Drosophila melanogaster: one gene and its partner. The gene in region 1 interacts genetically with each later gene. Each region holds a gene or a part of one and is shown on either strand. Other genes may lie near its edges.

Region 1 (7,806 bases):
TTTGGCTTCCGATGTGGTGACTGAGGATTGCGTGGTCGCTATTTCGCTCTTCACACTCGCTCTGCTGCTGACACTGCTCAAGGTGCTGGTGTTCTTCTTCAGGCTGTTTGTCTGGGGGTATTCCTGCTAAAGAGCTGGCTTAGTCTGATATTAACTACTGGGTAGTCAACTGGCTTACGTGCACATCCTCGGCCACAGGTCGCTGGTTGATGAGCGTGATGGGTGCTGCCGGCAGTGCCTCTTTTGATTTGTTGCCCTTGGCAATGTCACGGAACTCCTCCGTATATTCCTGTCAACAAATAGGAAGTTCTTCCATTAGCGGCCACACTGGGCTTCAGTAAAAACAGAAAACTCACCACAAATGATGGCCAATTCATGGCCATGTTAATGCCATGATTGTTCGACCACCATTTTAGGTCTTTCTGCTGGTCTGCATTGTTGATCGTGTGGGAGAACTCCTCGTAGATTTGGGGCAGGCTGTAAGTCATGTAAAAGTTATTTAAATGGATCAGTTAAACTCAAATCAAATTCAATTCGCACCTTTGCACTTTTGTGAGGTCCAGGCACGAGTGCACGTTGAACAGGATTTCTTTGAAGAACTGCAAACGCGTCTTCTCAAAGGTTTGGCACTTTTCAAACACGGATGTCATGTCCTCGATGTACACCGAATTGTATTTGGTGATTTCGGCAATCGCCTGCTCGTACTTTTCCCGGCACTTTTGCACTTGATCTTTGGTCTTTTGCACTCGATCGTGCATTTTCTTCACCTAATTAGGAAATGAGAAGTGGTGTGAGCATAAAATTAATAAATAAATTAAATTAATAGTTATACATACATATGTATAACTAAACTATTGCTTTTACAAAAAAGATCCTTACCTGATCCGGCGACAACGAGCTATCGGCATTGGCATTGCGTTCCTGATTGGTAGCACTGCGCTCCGTCTTGCAGGCCGAATGGTAGTCCGCTTTGGCCTTCTCGACCTTTGCCAGCAGCTTGGCCCAGGGTTTCTGGGCCTTCTTGAACAGATCCTCCAGGTCCTTGCGCTCCTTGATCTGCATAAGCGTGTGGTGGTAGTTCTCCTTCTGCCACGTCTTTATCTGGCTGTTCACATCGTTGCAGAGATTGTCCTTGATCTTCATGTGAACGTCGGAGATGCGTTCCGATTCCGTCAGAACGCCCTTCCAGGCTGCCTCCGTGGTTCCGTATTCCGGGCCTGAAACAAATCAGACATTCGTTATATATCTCTTTTAGCGTTTCTCAATTAACAACAGATTACAAGCGTGTCACCCTGTCGAGCTGTTTGCGGCTGACGTCATCGTGAGCCCCGCGGGTACTTGGTTTATCTAATCAGCCGCAGCCGCAAGATATATACAAACATACATATGTAGCCATATCTATAGGTATAGCAAATATAAAATGCCCGAAGAATAAGCGCTTGTATGGGTGCTGCGATGGAGGAACATCGTACATTTTTGGCATTTTTTATTGGGACCCCAAACACACGGCAATCAAGTTGATATGATGCTCGTCTTATAATTGGCAGTGCACGGAACTCGTTTGCCTAACGACTCACTATTCCCAATTCCCCCTGTGAAAAGGCACACAAACAGATATATAGAAATTGAGACGCTTAGCACACAAATAACTCGTTCTATTTTCTCGTCGCATTGATTTTTGAAACCATTTCAAGCGACGCTCTGGTGCCGGTTTGCTTTGGTGCCGAGTTATGGGCCACTGTCCAGCGCTTCTGCCTCCCAGTCTCCGTATCTGTAACTGTGAACGTATCTGTATCTGTATTTGTATCTGCACACGTATTCGTATCTGTATCTTTGGCTAGACGCGGCTAGGCAAATTCCTCGCAAATAAGAAAACTCGAAGAGCACTCGGAGGCGGAGGAAGTGATGGTAGTCGCTTTTGCAATTGCCCATCGCTGGTTACTGTGAAAGTGGACACTGAGAATTCCGTGCAGAGGCGGTCACAGAAAATAGCAGCAATAGAAGCAAACAGTACCAATGGGGCAAAGCGGTTTCCAACTTCGCAAGCGCTGTACTCGATTTCATTTTACGAAGAAGCGCGCACACTGTGCCGGACATCCGCTAAAAATGGTCAAAGACCCAATTCCGAAAACAATGAGTGAGTCGATGATTACCGCCGTTTTCGAAAATAGTATTTGGTAGTGTGTACTTATAGAAGTACATATATGAGGCAATAGCAAGGTAATAAAACCTTAAGAACCCATATAACTTATATATCAAAAAATAAAAATTGTATATTACTATAAAGCAGAAACCCACAGATATTTGATTCTTTATTTATTTATTATTTTCTCTTGTACAAACTTAAGATTTCCGCTGCCGAATTTTAATTGTTTAGAATGAAGAGTGTGAAGAGTGTATGCATATGTTTATGTTAGTTAATCCAAACACTTTGCCAGCCCCGCTCATTAACATACTTAAATAAATTGGTGTGGCGATTTTGAACCACAGTGCGCAGCTTTTGCAGAATACAACCGACAAAAACGAGGTAACGAAAAACGTAAAAAAAACCATTAATAGCTTAAGCCACTTATCGCACAACGGCAACAACAATGCTCAGAATGATGTACAGAATGTAGAAAATAAGAACAGCCAGTGGGCCAAATAAGTGGTGGGAATTCAACGTGAGCGGGTCACTTGATGCTCCACTGGGCTTTTAGCTCGTGAATGAATGTGTTGGCCAACAGAAGGCTTCCACGACTGATGATGTCTCATCCCACAGGCCACAGCCACCCACATCCCCATATCTCACCAGATCCCCACCTGCCGCTCACTTACCTTTCTCAATGAGTTCACCCCATTTCTTTGACCAGGTGCGCAGGCTTTTCGCATATCCCTTCTCGATGTCGGCACGCTCCTGAATCAGTTGCTGTAGGTCATTGCAGAGTCTGCGGGCGAAATGAGACAAGAATCATAATAATGCAAACCGGTTTGAATTTTTGTCTTGGGTTTGGGCTTCGGGTGTCGATATATTCGGCTGGCAATGACCCAGCGTCGCCCAGTGCAAATACACAGAGAGAACCCATTACCTATTTGCTTAAAAAGATTGATTGTATCACTAGAAATCAAAGCTCATTAAAAAAGTTTATGAAATGTCCACATAAGTAGAACAAATTGAGTTAATACTAAGACCAATGCTTATACCAAGGTCTTTATATTTTCTTATTTTTTTCCCTTAAATAAATACGAATTGCTGTAAGTTTGCATTCAAAACAATGTGATGACACTGCATGACCTACTAAACACACAGAAAAGATACAGTTACCAATACCAATTGGTATGACAGAAACGTTGAAAAACGATTGGGTTGCAGCTACGAATATGTTTTTGAATATTAAGCCAATTGTATTATGTCGAGGAATTCGACTGACATAATGGCAAAATAAAGTATCTCTCTGTGCACCAAGACTCCCTGGGGATTATCCACTCACTTGTAACCATCCTCGATCCGCTTGGTGGTGCGTTTGTAGTTGCCGGGCTCCCAGAAGGAATCGCTTCCAGCCTGGAGGAGCTGATCATCGCTGTGGTGGGACATTTCCTGTGGATTCCAATCAATATTAATCAATCACATACGACGGGCTTAAGCGCAATAATCGTAAAATATGAGTTTTGTTACGTAAATAGACACTGCAGACATAAACAACTTCCACACAGCAGCAACAACAAAAAGCTCTTTGTTTATACGCAAACTTGTATTTTTGTAGTGTTTGGCTAAGACCAACAAATCGTTTGTTAAACGACATACTATAGTAAACCCAAACGAGACGGGCTCTGAGTAAATTTATTGTTTGCCTAATTTGTTCAATTAAGAAATTCCTTCACATTGATGCAACAGGCAGAACTTTAATTACTGGAGCCTTATCAACGACCATATTTCTTGACGGTTTCGCCGAGTGTCCCCATTGATAAAGACTGGACTTATCACCCCTGACTCATTGTGCAACTTTGCATGGTGTTCTGCCAATGGGTTTACTATTTTCAAATTGGAATATTAAGGTAATGTCTTATTTTAATTGAAAAAATTTTCTTCGAAACTAAAAAATAAACATATTTTTAACCATATTAAGATAAATAAATATTTGTAATTTATTTTGAATTCGATTATTTTTAGTATCGCTTTCAAATATTATTTCTGTTTTTTGAGATAAATAGATAATGTTGACAGATTTTCTTTCTGTGTAGCATACATTTTCCACCGTAATAGTTTCATCTTATCAAGGGAATTCTCATGCACCCATATTTTGTAACCCAGATAAATGAGATCCCAAAAATTGAATTTGAAATTTAATATACATACACGCTTCAGGTGTTCTGCATTTCTGATTGTACGCTGAACAGTTGATACGCTTGTTTTTACTCCGGACAAATTCGAAAATTAGAATTCGAAGCAATTCTAACAATTTGGCGTTCTGCTTGCTTTGATAGTGCTTTTTTCTTTCCTTTGAAGTTATTCCCATATGCCTCTGGAACCTTCAAATATCTATCAACAGTTCTGCAGCTGCGATTTATCTGTTTGGCAATGTTCCGATTAGGCAATCCTTGCGAGTGTAGGAAGTCTACTTTTTGACGTTCCAATAAGCAGCAGCTTTACCCATTTTTTCTTCAAATGTAGCTCGAAAACACTTTATTCGTTTATTTGTTATATTTTTTCAATACAACAGTTTATACTTGTCCACGCAATACGAAGAAATTTAAGCTGCATCTAATTCAATGACCAACAGAAAACTTTGATAAGAAAAGCATTTTGGACAATTAAAAAAAGCATGCAAATAAATGATCGATTTTGTTAAAAAAAAAACGATTGTGCGTCTAACCTAAGAGCAGCAGTGTACATCGTATTGGAGACCCTTACGTGTGACAACATTTAACATTTCAATTCTCTCTGTGTAGCGAGCTAAATTTTTTCATACTCGGCGATGGGAAATCTTGGTATCTTATCAGTGGAGTGGAGTTTCCCTGCATCAGCTGTTTGTAAACAATGCAGTCAGTTTGAGTTCCACTCGCACACACCCGTATGGTGAATAACGGTTATGTTATCAGCAGCATTGACCGGTTATATACATGCTTTCTTATTTATATATGTATAATAACCTCTGCTGAAGTTTAATCACCTACACACATGTGTAGATTGGTGATGTTGGGTCTGCTGAATGTGGAATCTTGTATCTTGGGTTGACTTGATTTGGGCGTCATCGACTCACGATGCGCTTACGGATTTTCCCCATCATCGGCTATAAATATAAATATAGGATCGCGGCTCAGTGCGATTTTCGTGTTTTGCGTGTGGAAATGGCCAGCAGAAAGTTTACAAACAGGTTGACGCATACTTCGCATATTTGTGGAGATAGATAAGCACCTTTACGGCGCTCTCACAAGCACTCGCGCCACACACACACACACACATACGTATATGCACATCTAAACCAACACGTCGCACACTTAGGCGATAAGAAATCCCCCTCCGCCAAACAACCAAGAAACTCGTTTATCTTTGAGATTGAACTTGTCTCGACCGTTTCTACTGTAAATATTTGCATCGTTTTCCAGCACACCTTACATAAGGTTTTCTTGGGGCGCTGCTATTAAAATGCTTTCGCTGTGCACTAATTTTTAGCAGGCGAAGCGTACGAAGAGCACTTGCTGGCCGATTGGATTTTGTTGTTGCCAGACGCACACCGACACGCACACACGCTCGGCTAGGTCACACAAACACACGGGAAGCGAAATTCCGCTACACCCAAACGCGTTTACATGAAATGTTCTGTTCTAAATTGCGATCGCTTTTGTTGTTGCTGCTGCTGCAGCTGCACTGCATTTAAATGGTTGTTAAATAATCCTTGGCTTTGGGTCTCTGGCACTTGTTCATACCGAAGCAGGGCGACAACCTACCAATAACAAAATAGCGTAAAAAAGCACTACAACTCGAGTGTGTGTCTGGAATCGCCAACTAAAAAAACTATGTGAGGTGTGACCGTTTCGCGACCATTCAAATACACCTCGCGGCTAGCTGAAAATACCGCTCCATACGAATACAAAAATACCGAAATGTATTTAGGATATACATTTATTTTTAAGACATCTGTACATATTTTTAAGTACTAGTTACAGTACTAGCACAAAGTCAAGTTTTACTTAAACCAATTTGTTCTTTAAGTCCTTAAAATACTGAAGTTTCCAATCAAAATGTGTACACTAATTATACATAGTTGTATTTAAATTCCAAGTAAAATAAAACAATAAAATAACAATCAATCTATAGTCAATACCGCTCCAAATTTTGTGGACAATATAAAAACAGAATTATTTTGAAATGTTTATTTTAGAGGATTGCTTAAAGGACTTCTTCCCGCGCCACATACGACAGCATAAACTCGATTTTGCGAACCAGTTGCGCCAGTTTGGTGCGATCCAATTGCACACTTCCGCTGGCCAAAGCGAACAGCTTCTGGAACTCGGCTTCCTGGGTATTCTTACGGCGACTGATTGCCTTCGTCTGCTGCAGCAGATAGAGAACATCACTAAGGGCGGCCAACTTGTGCTCCTTCGTAGCCATCAACTGGCGGGCATCCTGCTGCAGCTGCTCCCTGTTGTCGACGAGGAAATTGGCACCTCCTGCAGCACTTCCAACTGCAGCCGCGCCGGCAGGACCATTACCCGTGGTGATGGCTTCCATCTCTACGGAGACAATAGCGTCCTCAGCATCCTCGAAGTTGGTGCCGTACTTTAAGGTGGCGCTGAGATTGACAAGGTGGGCCACTGCCTCGCTGGCATTGGTCCTCTGTTCGCCGCCAAAGAAACGAGCCACACAGGCGTAGGCGCTTAGTATGTTCCACAAATTGTAGTGCAGGCACGGAGACGGAGTTTTCTTGCATATATCGGAGAATTTGGCAATGCTCCCGAAAATTTCGGGAACACGGCTCTCTTTCTTGGCAGCTTCTTCGGGTGTAGGTATAATCACAATCTTAGAGTTCTTCGGCTTGATCCACCAGGGCTTGTAGTCTGGCATAAGCTTCATGATATCTCCATTGGTGATCAATTTCTGGAACTCATCTTGCTCCTCTGTAGTTAACCGGCTCCAAACTTCATCCGCATCGTTGATATCAACGCCTTTCAGTCGAGTTGCAATGTCTTCCTCCAGGTCTTCATCCAGTATGTCCCCCTCGGTGACGTTTTCTTCCGCCTCATCTTCTTCTGACTCTCCTTCCTCGCCTCCATCCGAGTCCAAACTATTTTCCAGGCCATCTGTATCAAATTCCTGGGGATTGAAACCACTGTCCGTTTCTCTCATCCTCTTCAGTATGTCGTATATTTTCCGCATGTCCTCCTGGCTTTCCTGCGTTACCGTGTTTTGGGTCAGCTCGTCCTGAATGCAGGACTTGTAGAAAGCCTCGGAACATTTAAGGTGCTCCTTGGACTTGTAGCATCCCACGCTGCAATACAAAGCATTGCACTTGGGACAGGTGTACTTGAAGGACACCTCGCGACAGCTGCAGGAGATTAATATATATTGAACCGCTATAATTAATATTACTTGTTAACTACTTACAAGTGACACTTTTCATCGGCTTCCGACATGGTCAAACAAAATGGAATAAACAAAATAGTGCGGTCGCCAACAGCTGATCGCTGTAGTGTGACCGTAACCACGATTCGTTAAGTAACGGCTTTTCAAATGGATAAGTTTTTATTTTGTTGTAAACAAAATAAAGTTGTTTGTAAACAAATTATACGACTTAGATATTATAAGAGTTGGATTTAATTTGAATT
Region 2 (7,861 bases), about 10 Mb from region 1:
CACCCGCACTCCAGATCGAATTTGAGGGCCTATCGAGGGATAGCGATTAGCGATTAGCGACATATGCCTTGGCAATATTCCATCGGATACCCACCTCCATCAGCTGTTGCCCTCCTTTGTTCTCACAGCGCGTCTCCCTCAGGTCATCGTCGTGTTCGTCGCAGTTGTGACGTCCGTACACTTGGCAAGGTGAGTTCATGAAGGTGCGGAAGACGGTATCGGTCCAGGTTTGGGAGGAGCAGATGTACTGGCGCCTCTTGCGCTGCCAAAACTCCACCCACCTATACAAACAAATTATAATTTGCAATTCAATATCGTACAATAAGAAAACCAGGCGTTACCCTAGGTCGCAATCGCAGTTGAGATCGGTGTGAGACATCTTCAAGTCCGTGAGGAACACACTATTCGGCAGATAGGGAACAGCTCCAGTGTTTGGATTGGGAATCTTCTTCAGGTTCCTGTTGTGGTAGCGAATGTCCAGCGAAATGTTCCGAACTCGGCCCATGTACTTAAAAAAGTTCGGAGGCAAGGCTTGCAGCGAGGTATTGAATAATTGCATGTAGAGGTATGGAGAACGCATGCCCTGGATCAAATTAAATATATAATTTTTAGCTTATATAGACATCGAGTTGGAAGAATTACTCACTCTTAGAATGCGTTCATTCAGGTTGGTGAACTGGGGACCACTGAAGGTGATGTTGGTCAGCTTGGAGGGCAGATGGCCCTCCATTTCGCGCTGCAAGTCGGTGGGATTGCCCAGCTGAAGGGTCTGCATCTCCTGGGTGGGTCCAGATCCCTTCTTAACAATGCGAGTGAAGGGCTGTGGGGCCTCGATCCACAACTGGCGGATATTGTAATGGTGGCGCAACAGATGTGGAATATTAAAGTGCTCCAGGTGGGAATAGGCAGTGAGCTTAAGCGATCGCAAGTGAGGCAACGAGTCCAAACAGCCATACTCGAAGTAGTGCAGCCGGAAATTCGATATATCCAGCATCTCAAGATCCTCGTTCACGCCATCAAAACTGTTGTTGTTCAGCGAGGTTATGGGATTGCCAGAAAGCATCAGACGTCTGTTGTAAATTGCAAATACTGATTAGATAGACCATTTACCAAGTTGGATTAACGCACCTCAAGTGGGGCAGAGCTTGGGTCATCAGTGGCACATTGGTCAAGTCGTTGTTGGAGAGATCAAGCATGCGCAGATTACTCATATTGTGGGCTAGTTCCTGCGGAATCGAGGGCAGCTCATTGTAACCCAGGCGGAACTCCCGCAGATACTTCAGTCGAATCTCGGGCACCGTGCTCAGAGAAATGTTCTCCAGGCCCAGTTTGATCAGCGAGTTCTCCAAGCCCATAAACGACTTATCCATCACCTTCAGATCCCGATTGTGGGAGAGGTCCAGAACGGCCAGTTTTGGCATGGTGGCGAACACTGCATCATCAATTCGCAGCAGATAGTTGTATGAGATGTCCAGGTAGCGCAGGGACTATAGTCACAATTAAGATTGTGTCTTATAATTTTAAACGGTTTTACCAATTCACTTACTCTAAACTTGTTGGACAAATCCATGCTGTGAATGGTAGAGATAAAGTTGTTGGACAGGTGCAGTTCACAAAGCGTCAGCGCAGCCAAACTGGACAGCGATGAGGAGGGGATCTTCAACATCATGTTGTGCGACACATCCAATCTTTAAGAGTCACGAATACATTATGTCCATACATTGACTATATAGTTATTTACTCACTTTTCCATGCCTCCGTTGTAGAAGAGATTGTCGGGCAGGCCCCTCAGGTGATTATGCGAGAAGTCAACGATGCGCAGGCCTTGGACAGGTTTGAATATATCCTGGGGAATGTCACTGAGGTAATTGTGGCCAAAGAAGACCAGCTGGAGCTGTTTGGTGTTCTTGAAGGCATCAAAGTCCAGTTCGTGGATCCAGTTGTAGCTGAGGTCCAGCCATTGCAAGTGGGGCATGTTGCCGAAGACATCACGAGTCGTGTTCTAAAGGGTCAAAGGGTATAAAAGGCTGGTAACAAAGTCATACAATTTGTTTTACCATCAGCGAATTGTAGCCCAGATGTAGGTGTGTCAGCGAAATTTCAGCAGGCCGGAAGTATCCAGGATGGATAATAGATATATTGTTGTGGGAAAGATCCAATATCTTAATATTCGAGTGGTACATGCCACCTGTATAGTGAAGCTATTAACAAACTGGAGATTTGCTAGTAAAGAAGACCCTACCATGTTCATTTCGTCCACTCCACGAGGAATTGTACATCAACTGCCTGATTTGATTGTGGCTCACGTTCACATTAAGATTCGAAAGGGTACCCACTTGGTCGAAGTAGTCAAAGTTGAAGTTGGGTAGCTGATTGAAGGCCATGTCCAGGATCTCCAGTTTCGGTAGGTTCTGGAAGGACTCGTCGGCCAGGTTGTTTATCTTGTTGCCCCTCAAGCTTAGATACTCCAGCTCATCCAGGTTCATAAAGGCTCTTCGCTCGATCTTGTCAATCTTATTGTCATCCAGATGCAGTTTCCTCAAGGCTTCCAGATCGAAGAAGGTATGCTGGGATATGGAGGTCAGGTGGTTGAAGCGAAGCGAGATCTCCTCCAGCTTTGAGTGAATGTCGCCCTGGAAGGTGCCCTTTAAAACCTGCTCGATCCTGTTGTCATGAAGCTCTAGGAGCCGCAAGTTCTTCAGGAAATGGAAACTGGTGTCGCTCATGCTGCTGATGTGATTGTTGCTAAAGTCCAGCTCTTGGAGGGAGGTCAGATGCCTTAGGGGTTCAGCTGGCAGGGCACTGCCAGAATAGCCGTGCGACATCTTCAGAGAGATGAGCGAGTGACCAATCTAAAAAATAGATTTTTTTATTAAGTGAGCCCAATTATATTAAGAAAATCCTGAATAACCTCATGGAAGGCATCGTTCTCTATGCTTGATATTCCGTTCTCGCTAAAGTCCAGCCTTTTCAGACCCCTAACGTGCTTGAAGGCGTGCGATTGAATCCCGGAGAGACTGGCCCTGGTGATCTGCAGATCCTCCAGCTCCACGCCGAAGTCCTTGAAGTCCTCGGGTCCCACGGAGGAGGATCCCAGGCGCGAGATCGACAGTGATCTCATGTTCCGCATTCTGGTCATACTTTTTGTAAATAAATACAAGAGTGGTTCTGGGGTGAAGGGTGTGTGGGGAGCAGGATGTTTCTCGGTGCACTGGGTTCACTTACTTGCGCAGGGTCTGCAGATTGGTGGGGTCGTTGCGGTCTCCACTCAGGTCCAATTTCAGGAGGGTGTAGTGCACCGCATTGAAGGTCTCCGTGGGCTTCTGGATCTTGATCTTATTGTCCCGCATGCTGATGACCCTATTATTAAGAAATAAATGTATAGAATTATAATTTACCATTATAAAATTCAATAATAGCTATGCAAATCAAGCTTTTTCTCAGTGCCGCGTATTTTTGCAAGATTGCCTGATTGCGCGGCTTTTCCCTCTTCCTCGAATTCTTTTAAATAGGGTCACCCACTTGTCGCACACACGAACTTAGGAACTTGAGAAGCCTTAGAGGCTGCCGGCAATCCGATTAGTTCCCCCCAATATGCACATGTGCAAATGGAATGGGGGCAGAACGTGAGTGAATCGGAGTGCAGGTGCTCGACTCACCTCAAGACATCGAAATTGTTGAAGAGCTTATGATGCAGCTTGGTGAGATTGTTGCCAGACAAATCCAGGATCTGGAGGCTGTTCACCAGGCTGTCAAAGGCCACAGGCGAAATGTTGGTCAGGCCGCAGTAGCGCATGTAGATCTCCCTGATTCGAGCGGGCTTAAATGCATCTTCCTGAAAGCGAACCGTAAGTTCCAAATATGTTATTTATAAATCAAATTTCTGGGAGGGATTTTCGTCCAGTTAAGTTTCACAAGGGTTAGTTAACCTACCCTCAGAGTGTGAATGGGATTGCCATCGAAGAAGGTGCGGTTGACGGTATCGAAGTACTTGAATGAATTGGGAGGCAGGACCTCGATGTGATTGTACTCCAGGTGTAGATTGTCCAGATTCAGCTTGGTGCTGGCCTTGATCTCGTAGGTTTCGTTGCCACTGAGCGACCAGATCACATTGTGGGAGATATCTAGGGTGCGAAGGCTCTTTAGCGGACCCAGGGCGTCGTACGGAATCTCCGAGAGGATATTGTCCGTGAGCAACAGACGGGTCAGCCTCGGCATTCCATCGACGAACACATTCGGATCGATCTCGAACAGGTTGTTCCCACTCAGGTCGAGGGTCTCAAGAATGAGGAGCCCGGAGAAGCTGTGCGACATCAGCTGCGATATGCAGTTCTCGCGCAGGATCAGCGTCTGCAGCGAGTCCTCCAGGCCGCGGAACGAGTCGTGCTGAATGTGCGTTATGTGGTTGTAGCCCAGGTCCAGATGACGCAGCTTCTGCAGGTGCCTCAGGGACTTGGACGGGATCTCCACCAGGTCGTTCTGCGGCAGAATCAGCTCCCACAGCGATCGCTCCAGGCCGGTGAAGGCATCATCTGGGATCTCGGTGAGATGGTTCCCAGAGATCTTTAGGCGGTACATGCCCGTGGACTGCAGGAAGTAGGGCTCAATCTCCCGCAGACCTGTGTTCTCCATGTGCAGCATGAAAACCTAAACCAGAATACATTCCAGTTATCGGAGTTAATAAATTAATGTGGTGGTGGTTATGGGTAATTAAATGGGTATGACCAGAACTAAAAGTGTTGATTTATGGAGATAGCTAATCTTACGACTCACCTTTGACTGGTTCACCATGCGCGGCAGTGCCGGAAACGGAACATTCTTGCAGTGCACTATCCCCAGATCCGTGGAGGACTTGGAGCAGGTGCACATCACGTTGTAGGTGCAGGGCGGGTAATGCGTCTCCTCCATCTCGCGATCGAACATGGAGGCGCGAGCCAGCGACATCCAGATCATGATCATGAGCGTTATAGTCAGGAAGGCATAGCCGAACTTAAAGAAAAATTCGAGGCCCTAGGGATAGAATGGATAATGTACTGGGTACTGGGATGACTAATTATAGGAAGACTAGCACTTAGTCACAAGAGAAAGTTTTCCAACCAGCTTTATAGTATCCATAGATATCTATAGAACGATATAGGTTTATCATCTTAAAATAGTATCCATTAAATAATATCCTTTAATTGAATTCTAGCCCGCATTGCAAAGGATCAGTTTTTTCTCAGCTAAATAGATTATGAAAACGTCAGCAGGACGTTTAACTTTTTACTTTTAATATGGCTTCTCAAGCCTGTTAGCAGTTTCACTACGACTTCGCAAAAGGATTAGCTGTTGTGTCTGGAAAAGTTTCCGAGGATAAGTTCAGGGGTGACTAGACCAAAGGGGTGTCTTCATTTCACAGGATTTGAATCCGTCCATGGTTTTTTTTAAGTCGCAAGACTTAGGCACTTCAAGGGCTACTCGCATAGATTATCAAATGTCCTCTTTTGTAGTTCAATAGCAATTTAGATTTAGTTTAGCAGGATATCAGGCCATTTTGTTGGCCAATACACACCATTTTGCTGTAAATTAAATTAGACACTCGCGACACTTGGCGATTTAAACAAACTTAATTAAGATTTCACGGGCACTGTTCACTCTTCACTCTTTAGTCAACTGTCCAAAAAATTTGATTTGATTTCCAGCTCCCAGTGGCTATATTCCCTGGCCAGGACACTCGCGTGGAAATCCTTGCTTGAAATTCCGTTCGCTTTTCAGGGGAAAAACAGGGCTGGAAAAAACACGACCGAACCGCTGCGCGTTCCACGCACGTCTGACAAACTGCAAATCAATCAGCGACGGGCCAAGTACTCTAGTTGGCCAACTGGCGCATCCGGCTAATTGGATTGTAACATATCGGGAATGCTCGATGGCGCCGTCACCATTGGGCACACACTCTTTTCGCCTCATTTGCAGCATTACTTCACTGGAGGAATGGCCAAATGCTGGTCATGCTGACCTTTGTATAGAATATGGCCGGCAAAAACACTGTGATAAAAGTGCGAGCAGGGCGGAAGCGGATTTCGGCCAGGTTTTCAAGATTCCCAATGCAGCTGCAATAGCCTCTGGGTCGGCTTAAAACTTGTACGAGTTCGTTTAACATGATTTCGGTGTGCACTGCTGACTTTTTTGGAGGTTTGCGAAAACGCGTCGAAGAGCGTGTTCAACAAGCTCAAACAATTAAAATTCCGAACAAAAAGGTTCGATAGAAAAAAAGTTTGAAAAGTTATAACCAAAAGGCATTTAATTTAATAATACAACAAGCAGTGTTTGAAAAAATTCAACATTTTAAATGTGTCTCAAAACATTATGCAGCTAAGGGACATTCTTGCTAGATATCCATTAAATAAATTATTACAATGTGAAAAAGGCCATTTTAAACCATTCTTAGCCATGCTTAAATTTAAAGAATGTACAATTTTGTATTACTAAGCAAGCCTTACTTAAGTGAGCGAATCTTGTGATATATCCAGGAATGATATGTGCGCTCCTTGACCATCTCCTTGTCTGCGAAGTCAAATATATTACCATAGCTATAGAAAATAAACAAGTCAAAAAGCAAACTTACCATCACACTGGAAACACTGAGCCAAGTTCGGCGGACAAATGTTTTCCGAATTGAAATAGAAGGTGGTCTTTAGTTCGCGGAACTTGTTGTGCGAACGCATGGTAATGTGCCGGGAGTAGGGATCCTTGCCATCCAAGTGATCCCTCACATAGTGGGCAGACAGGCGAATGTCCATAACATCACTTAGCTGATCATCGATGGATTCTACTAATTTAGGCGGTTTCTTCAGCAATTCAGAACAGACATCGTTGTAAACTGTAGGTCAAAAACGGAGTTATAGCTAAAAATCCCAGGATCTGCTTTTTGTCCTTCTTACCATTTGCCAGATTTAAGTGGATGTGCATCATCAGGAGATGCTCTAAGGTGCAGTGAATCTGAAACAACTTTGAGATTCTCTCCGTACTCTCGTGCTCGTCGAAATGGCTGTTTTTGAACCCAGCATCATCGTCGCTACCGGCATATTTTGTACTCCGCGAATTGACAGCGCCGTGATGATGCAGCAGCGTCTTTCGCATTCCAGCTCCAGGGGTCGGATCACCCCTGACCGCATTGTGCAGGGATTTTCGAAGCTGGGGCAGATTCTGGGGAGAACCATCGTCCATCGACGCTCCGCTGGAGTCATCCTTCAACAGATTGGTGCTGCACATCTTGCTCTCGGTGTAGATAAACTCGTAGTCCTTGTACAACTTCTCCAGGCCAATTTCCAAAAGCAGTTCCAGAGGCTCGGCCCCACTTAAACAAGGCATGGCCAGACGACGGTTGGCCAACTCGGTGATAATCTTGGCAAGTCGATTTTTGTTAGTAGGCGTGTTCTATGGGGTGAGGAACATGAATAATATGTGGTGGTTTGCATGCATTAGCATACTTACTACTATGTTACACCGTGCAGCACATTGGAAGAGCATACTAAAGGCAATTTTGAGATCCTTGTAGGAGTGGCAGCACTTGAGCAGCTCCCAAAGCTTATCGGTTAGATCCGTGAGCTGGCGAACCTTGGCCCTCTGCACCACATCTTCGATGTCAAACTCCGCATTGCTGATGCTATACCGACCTATAAGGCCAGAGACATCTGTCATTGTCTGATTAATGGACTCGCGCAGCTCGTCCATGTCAATGCCACTGCCACAACGATAGGTGGGATCCCGAGAGACGCCCTGCTTGACATCCGTGTGGTAGGAGACGATGTCCTCGCGTATGTAGACCAGAATGCGCAGCTGATTCATAAAGTCCTGCGTCAAAGGACCGCAGTCGCCCACG

Evidence for each region. A genetic interaction does not mean that the proteins touch.
Region 2: of Synd (region 1) and chp, changing one enhances a phenotype caused by changing the other (phenotypic enhancement), as found in Drosophila melanogaster (one study listed by BioGRID).

Annotation. Positions count from the first base shown.
Region 1 is NT_033777.3:20,830,996-20,838,801, reverse strand, and holds the start of Synd (syndapin), read right to left. Parts: upstream 6,004-7,806; 5' UTR 5,929-6,003; intron 4,406-5,928; exon of another isoform or gene 4,337-4,405; intron 3,578-4,336; 5' UTR 3,575-3,577; coding exon 3,471-3,574; intron 2,928-3,470; coding exon 2,818-2,927; intron 1,218-2,817; coding exon 880-1,217; intron 768-879; coding exon 541-767; intron 478-540; coding exon 357-477; intron 290-356; coding exon 179-289; intron 127-178; coding exon 1-126. Other genes in the region: CG31223 (uncharacterized protein), read right to left, coding at 6,371-7,526, 7,586-7,614.
Region 2 is NT_033777.3:31,204,710-31,212,570, forward strand, and holds the start of chp (chaoptin), read right to left. Parts: upstream 6,022-7,861; 5' UTR 5,555-6,021; coding exon 5,552-5,554; intron 5,011-5,551; coding exon 4,774-5,010; intron 4,648-4,773; coding exon 3,934-4,647; intron 3,836-3,933; coding exon 3,660-3,835; intron 3,361-3,659; coding exon 3,226-3,360; intron 3,141-3,225; coding exon 2,912-3,140; intron 2,853-2,911; coding exon 2,243-2,852; intron 2,189-2,242; coding exon 2,058-2,188; intron 2,003-2,057; coding exon 1,746-2,002; intron 1,689-1,745; coding exon 1,547-1,688; intron 1,488-1,546; coding exon 1,129-1,487; intron 1,071-1,128; coding exon 647-1,070; intron 584-646; coding exon 342-583; intron 282-341; coding exon 95-281; intron 30-94; coding exon 1-29. Other genes in the region: zwilch, read right to left, coding at 6,476-6,543, 6,605-6,859, 6,921-7,416, 7,474-7,861. UniProt on the Drosophila melanogaster protein: Required for photoreceptor cell morphogenesis. Mediates homophilic cellular adhesion.